2 linked regions of the Styela clava genome follow. The protein of the gene in region 2 binds, or shares a complex with, the protein of the main gene of each other region. Links are inferred from orthologs where the notes say so. Each region holds a gene or a part of one and is shown on either strand. Other genes may lie near its edges.

Region 1 (7,545 bases), on a different chromosome or scaffold from region 2:
CTGAGTAAAATATCAGGATGATACAGATTACACATACATATTTCATAAAACAGATGATAATGCTTTTTGCTCCAAACAAGGCACTGTACAACCACTGATATCTAATTGATCTTTGTTTGGCTCGGCGGTGTGTTGCATCGTGCTAAGCAATAGGAATACGCTCGCCACCTCACCTTTTGTTACCCTGTGTGAGTGCGCAGGTTCGAATCTCATGCGGGGATAGTTATGTGCGAGAGGATTGCTTGACTTCTCGCCGACATAGGGTGGTTCACGTAACCGCTGGTCAGATACGGCTTCCTCCACCATCAAGCCCATGCTTTCGAAAACGAACAACTGGCCAACTTACCTAGTAACACTGAACTTTAGGTTGCAGTTGCTGCCACTCTGTACGATGGGGGGATAACAAGACTCCACATAAGTTGGATCTGCTCCACGTAGATACTGTTTGTCCTCAAGAGATTTTTCAACGTATTCCGCTACTTTGAAATGCTTAACTCTCTGGAAAATTAGCATAAGTATAGTCATCTTGGTTGATTCTTAAAGAGATGGCTAGAGTGTAGAGACAAATATCATGTTTTGAAATGCGCAGGGGGTTGTGCGATAAACTGCCCATCCTTCGTTTTACGTTTTATGTTCTGCAGGATCTGTTATTTGACTCGTGTTACAAGGATGCTTGAATAAGATAAAGTCAGGAGTTTATAGCGACAGGTGAATACAATCTCATTCCATATGCGTGAAATGAGATCTCGCCAATTTGTTATCATGGTTTCACTGTACCAACACCATATCTTAATTCCAAAGAAGTCCTTCTTAAACATCAATAATCATCTGGACAGAACATAGAAAAACCTTAACATAGCAAAGATTAATTCTCTTGGAACATTATGTATGCAGAGTTTTTCGTGAATAAATCAACTTGAACACGGTACGAACCCTATCAGCATCTATAACATCTTTCATATATTCTTTGAAAACTTTGCTATAAACTTCCAAGGTTATTCCTGATGCTTTTCTCAGTAGATTCAATTCCGATTCTTCTTTGACTGCCATTATTGATGCCACATTTGCTGATACATCAATCTAAAATTATGAAGGTGAAGTAATATTGATGAGACTCACAGACAGAGACAGACTTTTATCAAGTTATGATTCCACATTGGTAAACTGTTTTACAGTTTTTTTTTTTGCCTCACCCTGTATATATATAAAACATGAAGAAATACAGATAGAAATGAATAAAATATCTTCAAGAAACAAGTATATAAACAGTATACATATAAAAATAGTAGCTCAGCCATATAATTGATTTCTCAGTACAAAACTTGTAAATTTTTAAAAATAAAATGCCAGAGAATTAATAAAAGTAATAGCCTATATCTGAATTATATTTGAAGAAAAAAATACTGTAGAAAATTAGAGTAAAATAACAAAAAAGGAGCATTCCTGTGACATACCTTATTCAAGTTAGACTTTTTCAACACTTCATTCCATGCATCAATAAATTTGGACGAGAATTTATCTTTTGCAAAAACTCCTATTGTTTTACCCTGTAATGAAGAAAAATTAGTTTGAGTATAAGCTTCATTTCAAGAACCCGTGAAAGCATATAAAGTTATTAACCATAAAATAGCACAAATAAGGTAGGTCTAATAGACAGATCTAGGTGAGTTTATTTCATTATTTTATGTTCTTCTATGTTGTATGGTCTGAATATTTTATTAATTTCATACACTATTTAATCGTTTATTGCTAGTTACTGGTTTGTTACATTTATTAATTTGTCATACTATATGGATGTTTCAATGTCTGGAATAAATAACAATAGAGAAAAGCTTTCAAGAAATAATGATTTTAAACATGGAATAAAAATCTAACAAGAACTTCTCGCCAAAACATAATATATTGATCTTCTAAATCTTAATTAGATAGCAGAACATTGGGTACCGCTGCTCGATAACCGACTTTGGTTCGCCGCGGCTTCCATTCCCCAGTAAAATTATGGTCTTTACTTTTTTGCATATTTTTTGCATTTGTATCTGTATATTATATTACTGGTTGGAAAAAATATACTTGACTGTGACTATGAACCTACATTTTTGCTCGACTTTAAGAACTGAATGATTTTTTGGAAGTTTTCAGTGTTGTTATCTTTCTCCCTCTGAATTAAGTTGATTTCAGGAATTCCATTCGCATTTTCATTGTTCTTTGTATTTGCCGCTGGTTTCAAAAACTCAATCTGAACAAAAAGAATGTTTCTCAAACAAAAGACAAAAAATCAAAAATATTTCAACATAAGCATTTCTAAATATAATGAATATAAAACAAACAAAAAACTCTTACTTTCTTTTTACTTGCCATGAACGATATGCTATTCTCACAGAAAGCCAAGATCACATCAGTTAGCTCGTATCCAAACAACCATGTCTAAAAAAAGCATATAAAATATCTTAATAAAGCTATGCCTGCAGTAATGGCAGTCTGATTTAAGCAACAACAATTTGCTAGTGATTCAGCTATTAAGATTTTGAAAATCAAAATTGAGATATGACCTGGATAGCTGTAGATTTTGAGTAAACAACATCTTCATCACTTCCCATCGCCACGACAACAGCATCTGATTTAGAGAATCCGTCATCTCCACTAGCATCCTATATTCAAAAAGTCTTCAGCTTGTTAGCATTTTGAAAATATATGTACGGTAAATATTATGAAATATAACATACCGATCAAATCCAATTTATAAAATTTCAATTGGGAAACACAAAATGCGTTTTTGAGTATATACCGATACAAATCATTCATAAACAATAACAAAATGGATGCATGCGATCAAAAACGTTTGAATTTTTCTAAATGAAATTTTAAGCATAATCCCTACCTTCCAAGCAGTATATATTTTCTTGAGACGACGATAAAAAGCTTCTATATCCAAGGAAACAGACATGATGATGAATTTAGATTATTAGCATTAGTTGGTTCTATGCTAGAAACAGAAACACTTGTGATTCATGTTATATTGGAATAAGATATTTTCAGAAAAAATAATTCTAAGCAATTCAGATAGTCATTCTTAAATACTATAATTAGATAATTAAATTATTCAGTTGCAATTTTCGAATTGAAATTTCCAATTTTACCTAGTCTATGTATGGTTAGACATAAGTCAGAACAGAATAAATAAACACAAAAGGATATTGAAATGGAATTTCATTGTCATAAAGATAGTCCAAACAGATACACCAATGGATTAATATAACATAAATCAAGCCATAAAATTTTGAATTTCAACAGAATAAGTCTCTATGACGCGGCACTGATGATGGCTTCGTTGCAGTCTATTGCCACCTGCGCTTCAGCCTTTTCAATATCCGTTGTTGCTGACGATAATTCCGCTTGAGCTTTTGTTAAATTTGTTTTTGCGGCATTGACATCTAGTTGATCCAAAGCTACGGCCTCTTCTGCGGCTATTTGAACCGTAGAATCTTCGTTCACCGTAAAAGATCCGCTACTGACGAAAAACTTATTTGATTTTCCATCTTTTTCGAATACGGTTAGAACACCGGGTTTAAGTACTCCGAAAATAGGAACGTGCTTTGCTAGAATACCAATGACCCCAGCCCCGGTGGGTACATCAGCTTGTTTCACATCAGTGCTTTCATTGTAGAAGGCCTCTACTGGAGATGCAAACGTAAAAACCATATCCTCTGATTGTGCAACAGCCGGTGCAGCATCTGCGTAAGTTCTTGTGCTCTGAGCCACCAAACGTCGAGCTACAAGTCCAGTGCGGCAAAAAACACGGGCAGCAAGAGACGCCATAGTTCCTTATTTTTTATAGCTTGACGAAACTATACTAATAAATCTAAAGCAAGATTTTAGAAGCATTATCTACACTCCCATTTAACTTTAATGATAAATTATATTATCGAAAATTATATTATACCCGATAATTAGATGCATCATTACTTATTGATTTTAATCGGTAAGTATGTCGATAGGTATTTGTCTGTATGTTAGATGCACGCCATATCTCACGAAAGCGAGATTGAATCTGCTCCAGATTTTGCATGTGCATTCATCATATCTCGGACCAGAAGCCTATTGATTTCGGGCGAATTATGCCGTATAATTAGAGAGTTATTAATTAATCAGTGATGGGACACAAGGTGTCACTATGGAATAAGAGCGCTGTTTTGGGGGATCCCCTAACTTTCGATCGATAAGTCTTAGGTCAGAAAGACCGATATTCTCGTTTCAAATGTTATGAAAATGATAAAAATATCATGTTCAAATTTAACAAATATCTAAGACTTTATGTATCACATAATTATTGGGTTAGTTGGCTGTTTTTGTATTATTCCAGATGTATAGACATGATGGGTAGAAAAGCTCTAAACTTATAGCATTTTATGGCCTCATCCATGAATGGCTGTTGGACATAGACAGCAGGTTTGAATTTTAGAGCAGCTGCACGAGGTATACAAAGGCTATGGAGTGAGGTGTTTGTAAGGACTTGATCTTATTTTAATTATTTATTTATTTTAAATGTCTCCAGCATAAATAAAAAATGACTATAAATATGGCGATGATCTGTGTAAATTTTTGTCTCAAAACTTTTGAAAAAAAAAAATCATTAGTGCTAATGCCAAAAGTATAAAGAAAGCAAATATAACCAAAAGGGAGTAAAAACGCAAAACGAATGAAAACAAAAATAGCGGTAAAAGATGTCCGACATAGACCACCAGTTGAAACCACATACAGACATGGTGTTGAGAGTATCGATGGCAATTATAAAGACTGGAGATGACATATCGCTGTATTGCGAGCAAAATGTGCCGCAGTGCCAAACTGGATAAATACAGAATATGTGGAGAGCTTCTTCGTGGATGAAATTTTGGGGAATAGAATTTTGTGAGAATGTGGTTTTGTAGGAAAGGATTTTTGTGCAAATGGTTTTTTGCGGGGGGTAACCTTGTGTATTATGATGGAGGTATTTTGTAGTCAAAATATTTGAAAATACGAAAAGAAAAGAAGATGCAAAAGAATGCATCTTTTTTAAAAGGTCGTTTCATAAAAATATGGCCAAAAATCGTTTGCTTGCAGATTTCTTAATTTTCATCAATTATTTCAGTATTCTAAAGTCTTCTATGTCGATTACTGAGTTTAAATACATTTATACTTATAACCAAAAATTGCAATGCAAAAAGAAATTGATTTTTAAACTGAAACTTAGTTTCACTTGCTCAACTGGCAAGATTTAAGGTATTCAAATGTGTCTCATTTTTTCCGCATGGAAAATCTCTCAACAATTTTTTCAAGATGCAAATTCTAGAAAAAAATTTTTTTTTAAGTTATACAACAGTACAATCATTTCAGAATTCCCGCCCTGATAACTTCCAGACCTCCTAATTTGACAATGCCATGCCGCCATTGTTTCATTTCAGTACAGCAGTAGGCTGTGTACAGATGTAAGTGTCAACCGAGACAAAAGAAAAATCTCACCCATATTCTGATTTCCCTCTAGCCTTGGTCTTACCAAAATTATTTTTTAATACAATTTCGAGTTTATTACATTTTTTATCAATCCTAAATACATGAACGAAATCACGGCACAATTTGGCAAAAAGCACCGCCAACACCAGTTGGTCGACAGCGCCACCATTCAGATCTTCTTTGACCTCTGTGAGCCCTTCTTATTCGAAAGCAAATCGCTTAGTTGAAAATGCGAATGGGCGCGATTTCATAGCGAAATATGGATTGAATTTATGACAAATTACTTTGTTCTTCGATGACCGTGAGTCAAATTTTTGAATCGTTAATGCAAAAAAAAACAAAAAACAGAGAACAAACAGATTTACAAATACATACCAGTAATGACTGTAATTTTCGGGCTCTAGCGTCACCCAACAGTTTCATTTAAACAATGTATTATTTGGGACGGGTTTAGTGCTATCCACCGAAAGAAAAATCACTAAAACTGCTTGATCATATAGTGAAAGTGACTCTCGTGTTTGTTTATCATACCGGTTATGTCCAACAAACGTCAAGTATAGACTTCCGTTGTGCAGTTTCTTCATATAAGGTGTGTGTTGGAGTGCAGGTTATACATCTTTTTGAAAAGAAGACCTCAGATGGGCTAGATACGTTACTTTTTTGACTTTCCGAAAGTACGGTAATCCTCGGTTCAACAGTTTAGATAAGAGTTCTATTGATTTAATCAAGTTGAATATATAACACACAACTAGGCTACATGGTATCATACCAAGAGCGTGTGTCTGTTTAGACACAGGCGACCAAAGAATAAAATGAAAAATTTGTTCCAAACCCCAGTACAACTATTTGACATCTACGTGAACCAAATTCTACGGTTTAACGTTTTCGAAGTTAGTCTTATTTTTGACTTCAAGTTCCTAATTCTCGAACGAACTACGAGAAGCGGGGAATCTAATAACTAGAACTTGTCGTAAATAATTACCAAACTACATCTGTATACGTAGGTTACGTATATTGATTTGCTTTAATATGGATTAGAGCATGTTATTAGAATGGCAACACGTAGGTCTACACAACTCGACCAAATACAACGGAGGGAAATAATATTATTGGCAATGAATATTAGCCGATAATACTACGTATTTTTTGTTTTGTTCACAATTTCGTCTATCGTCCCAAACGACCAACGCAATGGAATACCAGTTGGCGCAAAACAGTTTTTAGTGTGTGTGTTATCATGTTCTTGTACCCAAGCGGAGTTATTTTATATATATATTCATCAGAATGTCGATGTAAAATTGTTTTTTTAAATCAAAATTTGCACAATCACCTATCCCCATAATCCATTCTTTTTGTATAAATTGGATTTCACCGCCGTATTTTGCAACGCCCTGGGCATTAGAGATAATCCGTTGACAAAAAACCTAATTTTACATTTTTAAACACCCGACATGCTTCTGGTAAATAACTTAGACGCCGATAGCTTCTGTCCAAGAGGGTTTGCGAATGGAAAGACATTGCTTCGTCGCAATAGTTACGTACATATTTCAATAAATAAGTTGTCTTTGACCAAAACAATAATGGATGTAAATTCGGGATTTATGGCACGATGGAAATATTCGCTGTTAGAAGGGGATGAAGGATCGATGAAAGAATATTTGAATTGTTTATTTTTTTCTAGGCTATATCATAAATAACATACGCAAATAATATTTTATTATAAATTATTCAGTGCTTAGACTGACAAAGTAGCCTTAGGTGGTTCTAATACCCATAATTTTTAAGATTTTTTAGGCAAGATCGAAGCATTGGCATTGACCGCAACAAAAATTAAGGTAATAAAATTAAAAACGTTGTAAAATTTGAAATTCAAAGACACGAAAATTCACTTATGATGCCCATCTAGCGGAAGGGACGTAATTAATGCAATTATTAAATTTCCTATAAATTTTTGAATGCTGACTTGTATTAGTTACTTAGAGTGAATAGTAAGACTCAGTCCCGTTATTAATGCAGGAAAGATTTTTCAGAAATGCAGTATGTGTTATATTGGTT
Region 2 (7,188 bases):
TTGTATGTAGTGCAATTACCGGTCAAAGGGACTTCAAATGTTCAGTGCATAAAGATGTAATGATAGTCGCTAAATGCATGGTCCCGTTATTTTACCCAGAGTTGTGCTGTTTTAATGGGCATGAAATCTCCAAATGGTTCTGATATTTCATGTATTGGCCTATGAGAGTAGCGGAGGCCAACGTATTTCCAATTCTTAATAAAATATACCAATCCAAATGCCCATTGTGGGCTATATTTTATGAATTAGAACAACGGAAATCTTAATAGTTCAAACAGAAAGATCTTTTTTGTCCCCTATTGTTCTTTTGTCATACTTATTTTCTAAGCGCAAGGTAAATGGGCTAATGCTGTGGTAACTGAACCGCCGTTGACGCCAGACTCAACAACACTTTGCTCCACGTAGCGCTAAGTTTTTATTATTGATATTACGCTATAAAACACAATCACGATGGTAAATTTCGCATTGAAAGTGTGATTTGACGTATTTGTCAAACCGAAGGAAAAACTAATTGCAGACTTGTAACAATATACAAATTGCTAATGGACAATGTGAAATGATACAAATGAATAAATAGAAAAAAAAAATCTGAACAAAAATGTGATTTGTCGTTATTAGTTTAAGAAATGGATGTGTGACTCCTTTTAGCAGTGTTGTTGGACAGAAATTGCTTGTCTTGTTAAATGATAATCAAAGATATTTTATCTTTCATCCATTTATTGGGACACCTCTAAACATTCCCGACCATCTATTTTGGTGGGATTACTCCACGAACGGCGTATGATATGGTACTAGTGCCACCCTAATATCATTACATATTTGCCTTAATTATTGAATACCGAAAATAAAATAAAACAGTCCTTTTTTCAAAGTTACTTTTTTGCTATCGGGCCTTATACCCTTTGTGTTTCGATTTTTGTGTTCAGGGGTTTACATGGGGAAAAACGCCTTCACTCCTCACAACTTCAGCAATCTTTGTCTTTCTGATAAGAAAAATGCCAAATTTTGTGACCTATACCGTCATCCGTATGACGCGATTATTTTCAGATTCTCTTGTGGTTCATACCTGAATTGGATTTCTTGTCAATAGCGCGTTCCTGGCAATAAAATAATTATACATGTATGGCAAAGTTATTACAAATCATCGGTTTGCCGTAATATATTGTCTCATTTGTATTCATTAAAGTCGACTTGGAGGGCTTATATTCTAACCACAAAGTGATATTGAAATTTAATAATGTAAAACTTGATATTTATGTATGTGAAAACCTGTTTTGAACATTTTAGATATAACGTCTTATCGAGTCTGCTGTGAGATAAACTTTAATAGATCGTTTTGGTAAGTTCTATGGTAAGTTGATGGTGATGTGAAAAATTGCAATTAATGGGCAAATGGACTTCAATTGTTCAGCACATAAAGATGAAACGATAGTCGCTAAATGGCAATTCATTTTAATATTTTTTATTATATTCGATTCTCCGGGGCCTGTTATTTGATCCAACGATTTGCTGATTTTTGGACACGAAGTCTTCATATGGTTCTTATATTTCGTGTATTGGGCTTTGGGAGGTGCGAAAGTCAACGTATTTCTATTTCTCGATAAAATAAGCCATTCCAAAGGACCATTGTGTATGTGTCTTGTATTTATCTGAATCGGATTATTTATTTTTCCCGCGTTTATAAACATTGGATGTTGACGAAAGGAACATTTGACTCCGTTGACGAAAAGGGCATTTCGTGAATCGCTGCTCGAATACCTACTGTGTGAAGAAAGTTGACGTAGGATAGAATAGGATTTTCATATTCATTACAGGAGTGAAGAAAGCCGATCATATGTTTGCTAACGGACTCCGATAACGAAAGGGACATTTCGTGTATGGTTGCTCGAGGACATACTGTTTGATTAAATTTTCGTGGGATAGGATAGGATTTTCATATTCATTACAGTAGTGAAAAAAGCCGATCATATGTTTGCTAACGGACTCCGATAACGAAAGGGACATTTCGTGTATGGTTGCTCGAGGACATACTGTTTGATTAGATTTTCGTGGGATAGGATAGGATTTTGATACTTATCACAGGGAAATGAACCCGCACACAGGGTAATATCAGATGTGGTGGCGAGCGTATTCCGGACGCTAAGCACGATGCGCCACACCCACGAGCCGCGCTCACTTGTTCACATACATTTTTAATGCGTTTCTGTTTTTCGGTTGGTATAACAATAAATTATATTTATCTTCTTCATCGTGATTCCTATTTTTATCGATAATTAGCTGTTTAAGTTTTCAATGAATTGCACGAACGATTGCGGGTGTAAACAAATGCAAAAATTGAAACTGATCACCAAGCACGGACACCCTGAAAAATCTATCAAGACCAATACAAAAAACAAAAACAGAGAAGAACACAATTAAAACAAACGTTGCTTTTTTTTGTTTTGGCAGAGTTTGCACTCATTGTTGGGGCAGATTTTCAGCAAGTGCCCACAAAAAATTACATCGAACGCAAAATATCTTTCTTTCTTCATCTACCCTTATAATTAAACTACATTATGTTTTTTTTATCGTTAACTTTGTTGATCACTTTAACGTGAATGCTCTATATTCCAGTAGGAGAGAAAGATTTTATTACCACAAACATTGTCAACAGTGTGGACTCAACACTATGATACATTTGAAGTAATTGAAAAAATATATATAACTTTACAATAATTGGTTGATACCTATTTGTGAGGATCAGTATGCCAGACCAGTTAGGTCGCCGAGGCCTCTGGTCCATGCTGTATATAAACAAGGGAGCTGTGCTCAAATATGTGAACACGTCACATGGTGTCGCTATTTTTTATTCTGACACATAAAAAACGAATCTCTTGAAGTCCACAGAAATTTTTGAAATAAGTAAAAGTAATAGCCTTCTGGCAAAAAATCAAACTTTAACAACTGAAAATTTCAAAGCAATTGGTCCAGTATTTAAAGAGAAAGCGATTTCGTCATGACGAAAGAGAAGAATAATACTAACAAGAGAGCTGTGCTCAAATATATGTACACGTCACAAAGTGTCGCTATTTTTTATTCTGACAAATAAAAAACGATTCTCTTGAAGTCCACAGAAATTTTTAAAATAAGTAAAAGTAATAGCCTTCTGGCAAAAAAATAAATCTTTAACCACTGAAAATTTCAAAGCAATTGGTCCAGTATTCGAAGAGGAAAGCGATTTCATCATGACGAAAGAGAAGTATAATACTAACAAGAACAACAACATTAGTGATGAAATATCGATAAAATAGAAATAAATATTTTCAAGTTAATAATGCAAGTCGTGATGTTAATAGGTCACGTGGAGTTTCTGAGTCCGGCCAGGTCCATAGAATCAGAACAATTATCAAGGGCTTAGATTAGTTTTTATAAATATTTATAATAGTTTTTGTAATTAAATAATTATTGGACCGGGTCAGGCTTTAATACACAGAGAAAAAATAAGGAGGCAATCGGATTATCACAGATACAACAATAATGATAGATAGGAAGTACTATTAACAATGGCTTTTTGGTGGAAAACAATAATAAAGTACATTGTAGTAGTTTGTGTCAGAAGAAAGAAAACATTTGAGTAGCCTATACTTTTACAAAAATTGAAAGTGGCTCGTGACCTTTAATATACAGTTTTATTACGGAATGGTTAAATTTATAGTATTATAATACAGTGAATACAGTGTTCGGAACATCTACTTTAAAGAATATTAAACTTAATATTTTTATCAAGATAATCATTATTCAAGATATTAAGACAAATTTGAGTATTCAAGGAGGGAGAACTTTTTTCAGTTTCTTATCGAAAACATGCACATAACTTTTTTGGAACCCTTTACGGGTCGGGAGCCAAGAGCCTCTATTTGTTTTGCAGAATGACCCACATAAATTGATGTGGTCCAAAAATGTGGATTTTATACATACTACTGTATACACTTACTTGATAATGTCAGTAATAATGTTATTCATGTAATAAAACCTCTCCCCGGTCATGGATATGGGCGGGTTTTAGGAGAACCGTTGCGAATGTAAATATTTTTTGCCGCAACAAGTCACGTGTCTCTCAGTGGCGGGAATCAGCTGTTGTTAGAAGTCATGCCGCGAGCCTTTGCTGTACTTTTCGTTTGTGGTGCTCGTTCGTGTATTTGTCTGTCGTTTTCATTCAATAATTTCTGAATGTGTTGTTTTTAGTATAATTTATTTTTAATATAGCCTAGCCTAATTTGTGAAGTTATTTTCACTATGGCTGATGACAGCATGAACGGAATACCATCCGACCCAAGAACCCCTATCAGCGACCCGGTCAGTCCAAGCAGCAGGGGAGCGCCTTTTGCATCAAGTCCAGGAGGTGCAGAAGATCTTCCACCATTTCAAGATGAGAGTGAAGCTGATGCTTTATTGGTGAGTATTTTGAGTAAGAGTTTTCAGTTTGGAATTTACCTGTTGATTCTGTAAAAAGGCACCGAGCTAATTCAATTTTGCACGCCAAAAATTTGCAATTGCTCACCAATGAAAATCGGTTTAAATGGTTTTAAATCAATAATCCAGTACCGGTAATATAGAAAAGCCAACAAACTGTAGCTCTACAATTGTCGACTACATAACACTGAGCTTGCAAGATTCTGAGATTTGGCCTGATCGAAAAATGTTAGTGACGAAGTATAGAAATAATATTCGGAGTCAAAGGTCAAACGTCCATTCTGTTATGATTCAACATATTTTTTATTCAATAATTCTACGTAAAAACACTCCCAAAATTAACGGATTATTGACAAAGTATGTTCATTTTGCTCTGATATAACGTATTTTTTATCCAATAATTTTACGGGGATGTACTGAACAGTACCGGTATCAAGTTAATCACAGTATAATAAACTTATACTTAGGCTATATACTAAGTCGCACAAACACTCAAGATTAATGACAAGTATAGAAATAATGTTTATGGGTCAAAGGTCAAACGTCCATATTTGCTCTGATTCGACGTATTTTGTATCCCATAATTTTACGTGGATGTATTGAACAGTATCAAAATCAGTTGCACGCGGGCGCAGTTGTTTTGCACGAAGTAAGCTATAATTGCACGCCTGGAATTCTGATTTGCACGCCGGAATTTCTGATTGCACGCCCGATTTCTTATTCAAAACGGCCATGAAATCCAGACTTGGGTAGGGTGGTGTAGCCAGTCTGCGGACGATTTCATTCAAACCGCTATAAAACAAAAACCAATATTTCTAACCCGTAAAGGTGCATTGGCATTTATTCTACACGCTAAACCTCTAACTTTCTACGGCCAGGGGTTCTACGGTCATATATTTTAAGAACACGGTTATTTCGAACAAAACTCGTCAAATTATAAACAAAGCACCGCATCACAGCAATCAAACAGACAAAAACACGGTGGTCGCAAATTGGTCGACAAAGATATTATCGGCGTATTGGAAATGCGCTCCCCCTATTCCTACTCCTTTGAATGTAAAAACGCGAAACTTTAAAGATAGTTAAAATAAACACAACTCTACCCACCTGCCAAGTTTCATCTTTCTATCTCTTATATTTGTATGGTTTTTCAAGCTTTTTTGAAGGGACAATGACTAGTTGGCGACATGGAAAATGATCCCGTTTTTTTTCTTCGGTCGGGTTTTTGGTCGTAACTTTTTTGTTTGTGGCCGCATTTTAGTGTAATTTCGCAGAGCTACGAGGGATAAGTGGACGATAACGCGTGAGAAATATCGTCGCGATTCGTTAATTTTTTCGGCAATAATTTAATCGATGAAGTTGATGGTCGCAAATAGGTCATGGCCGCAAAGTGGGTAAGCCACCCTAGCTCTAGGTCAGTCTGTAGCTGCATAGAACAAAAATATTACTGGTCTATGAAATGGAATCTTCCGGTATATCATCACCCTGTACCTGAAAAACTAATTTAGTATTCAAAGCAGTAAAATCATTCCTCTAAATACAAAGCGATGAGAATGCATACTTCATAACTGTCATAATTTTTAAATGCCAAATAAACACAGAAACAGGAATCCCTATCAGTCTGAAATAAAAATGGGTCAGAATACGGTATGGCGCATTTATTCGATTCCAAGAATAGCCACATTAAAGGACATCAAACCCCTCATTTATGAGACAGTCTGGGCCCCGATATTGGCATAAATTGGCAAAGCAGCTTTGCACAATATACTAAAAGGAAGTGCAATCTAAAATCGTCACCTTTGGATTTCTTGGTTTAGTTTAAAATTTACTGTAAAATTTTCAGCAAAAAAATGCAATTTGGGTCATGTGACGACCCCGCGATTAATAGGCTTGCACGTAATTGACAAAAATCAATTCCGTAATTACGGCAAAATCAATTACGTAATGACCCCGTAATTGCGATATTTTTCCATGCATTTAAACCTATCATAACAACCAATTGAATCCTCTTCTTTTCCGAATGGAACATTGAAGTTGGGTTTTCATATTCTTGGCAGTACTACACGCCGTCGGCAGATGTTAAAGGCAAATATCAAGGAGTGAATTCAAATTAATTTTATTCTGATTTTTATCTTTTGTGTTAGCTTTGGTTTTCCTTTATCACCTTCGCAAATTAACCGTCCCATTTTTATGCGATCAATTTTATTTTATTATTACCGACACTGGTATACGGATATTTATGGAAACGATAGTTTTTTAAAACCACCTTAGTGCTGAATAAAAATTACGGGTTTCTAATTTATTAACTAACGACGAGCGTATTCTCTCGTTTGATTATACTTGCGATTTCCTCGCGACGAAGACTTGTTTTTGCAGCGTCTTCTGCATTATCCGATATTACTGCCTTGTTAGCATTTTATAATAATAAATATTGATGTCGACTTATTGACGATATTCCGATTACCATGTTTCATTTTACATTCAATCATTTCGCGGACTGAATGTTTATAACATTATTTGCGATAAATTTAAGATCAAATATTATTTATTTGAGTATAATTTAAATATGGAACTTATATGATATGCCTTCTCCGAAAACACAAAGTTATATCGCAAAACAATGCATTTTGTGACATTTATTTTACACTCACGACATTTATTTGCTAACTCAAGTCGTCGATCCTATCGGCCAAGATTGACACAAGTTTGGTCGAGTGCCGGTGGTATTCAAGTCGA

The links.
Region 1: the proteins of DNA replication licensing factor mcm2-like (region 2) and FACT complex subunit SPT16-like are in contact, whole or in part, in a crystal structure (PDB 8YJF), measured with the Homo sapiens proteins. The link is inferred for Styela clava from reciprocal best matches to the Homo sapiens genes MCM2 and SUPT16H. Residues at the interface, in NP_004517.2 of Homo sapiens: Ile73, Gly74, Asp75, Met77, Tyr81; in NP_009123.1 of Homo sapiens: Gln898, Ser899, Leu900, Asn901, Lys904.

What each region holds. Positions count from the first base shown.
Region 1 is NC_135262.1:5,714,775-5,722,319, forward strand, and holds the start of FACT complex subunit SPT16-like, read right to left. Parts: upstream 3,002-7,545; 5' UTR 2,945-3,001; coding exon 2,879-2,944; intron 2,649-2,878; coding exon 2,550-2,648; intron 2,425-2,549; coding exon 2,341-2,424; intron 2,237-2,340; coding exon 2,093-2,236; intron 1,548-2,092; coding exon 1,455-1,547; intron 1,081-1,454; coding exon 934-1,080; intron 499-933; coding exon 347-498; intron 1-346. Other genes in the region: ATP synthase F(1) complex subunit delta, mitochondrial-like, read right to left, coding at 3,301-3,816. UniProt on the Homo sapiens protein: Component of the FACT complex, a general chromatin factor that acts to reorganize nucleosomes. The FACT complex is involved in multiple processes that require DNA as a template such as mRNA elongation, DNA replication and DNA repair.
Region 2 is NC_135252.1:13,315,832-13,323,019, forward strand, and holds the start of DNA replication licensing factor mcm2-like, read left to right. Parts: upstream 1-4,175; 5' UTR 4,176-4,275; coding exon 4,276-4,434; intron 4,435-7,188. UniProt on the Homo sapiens protein: Acts as a component of the MCM2-7 complex (MCM complex) which is the replicative helicase essential for 'once per cell cycle' DNA replication initiation and elongation in eukaryotic cells.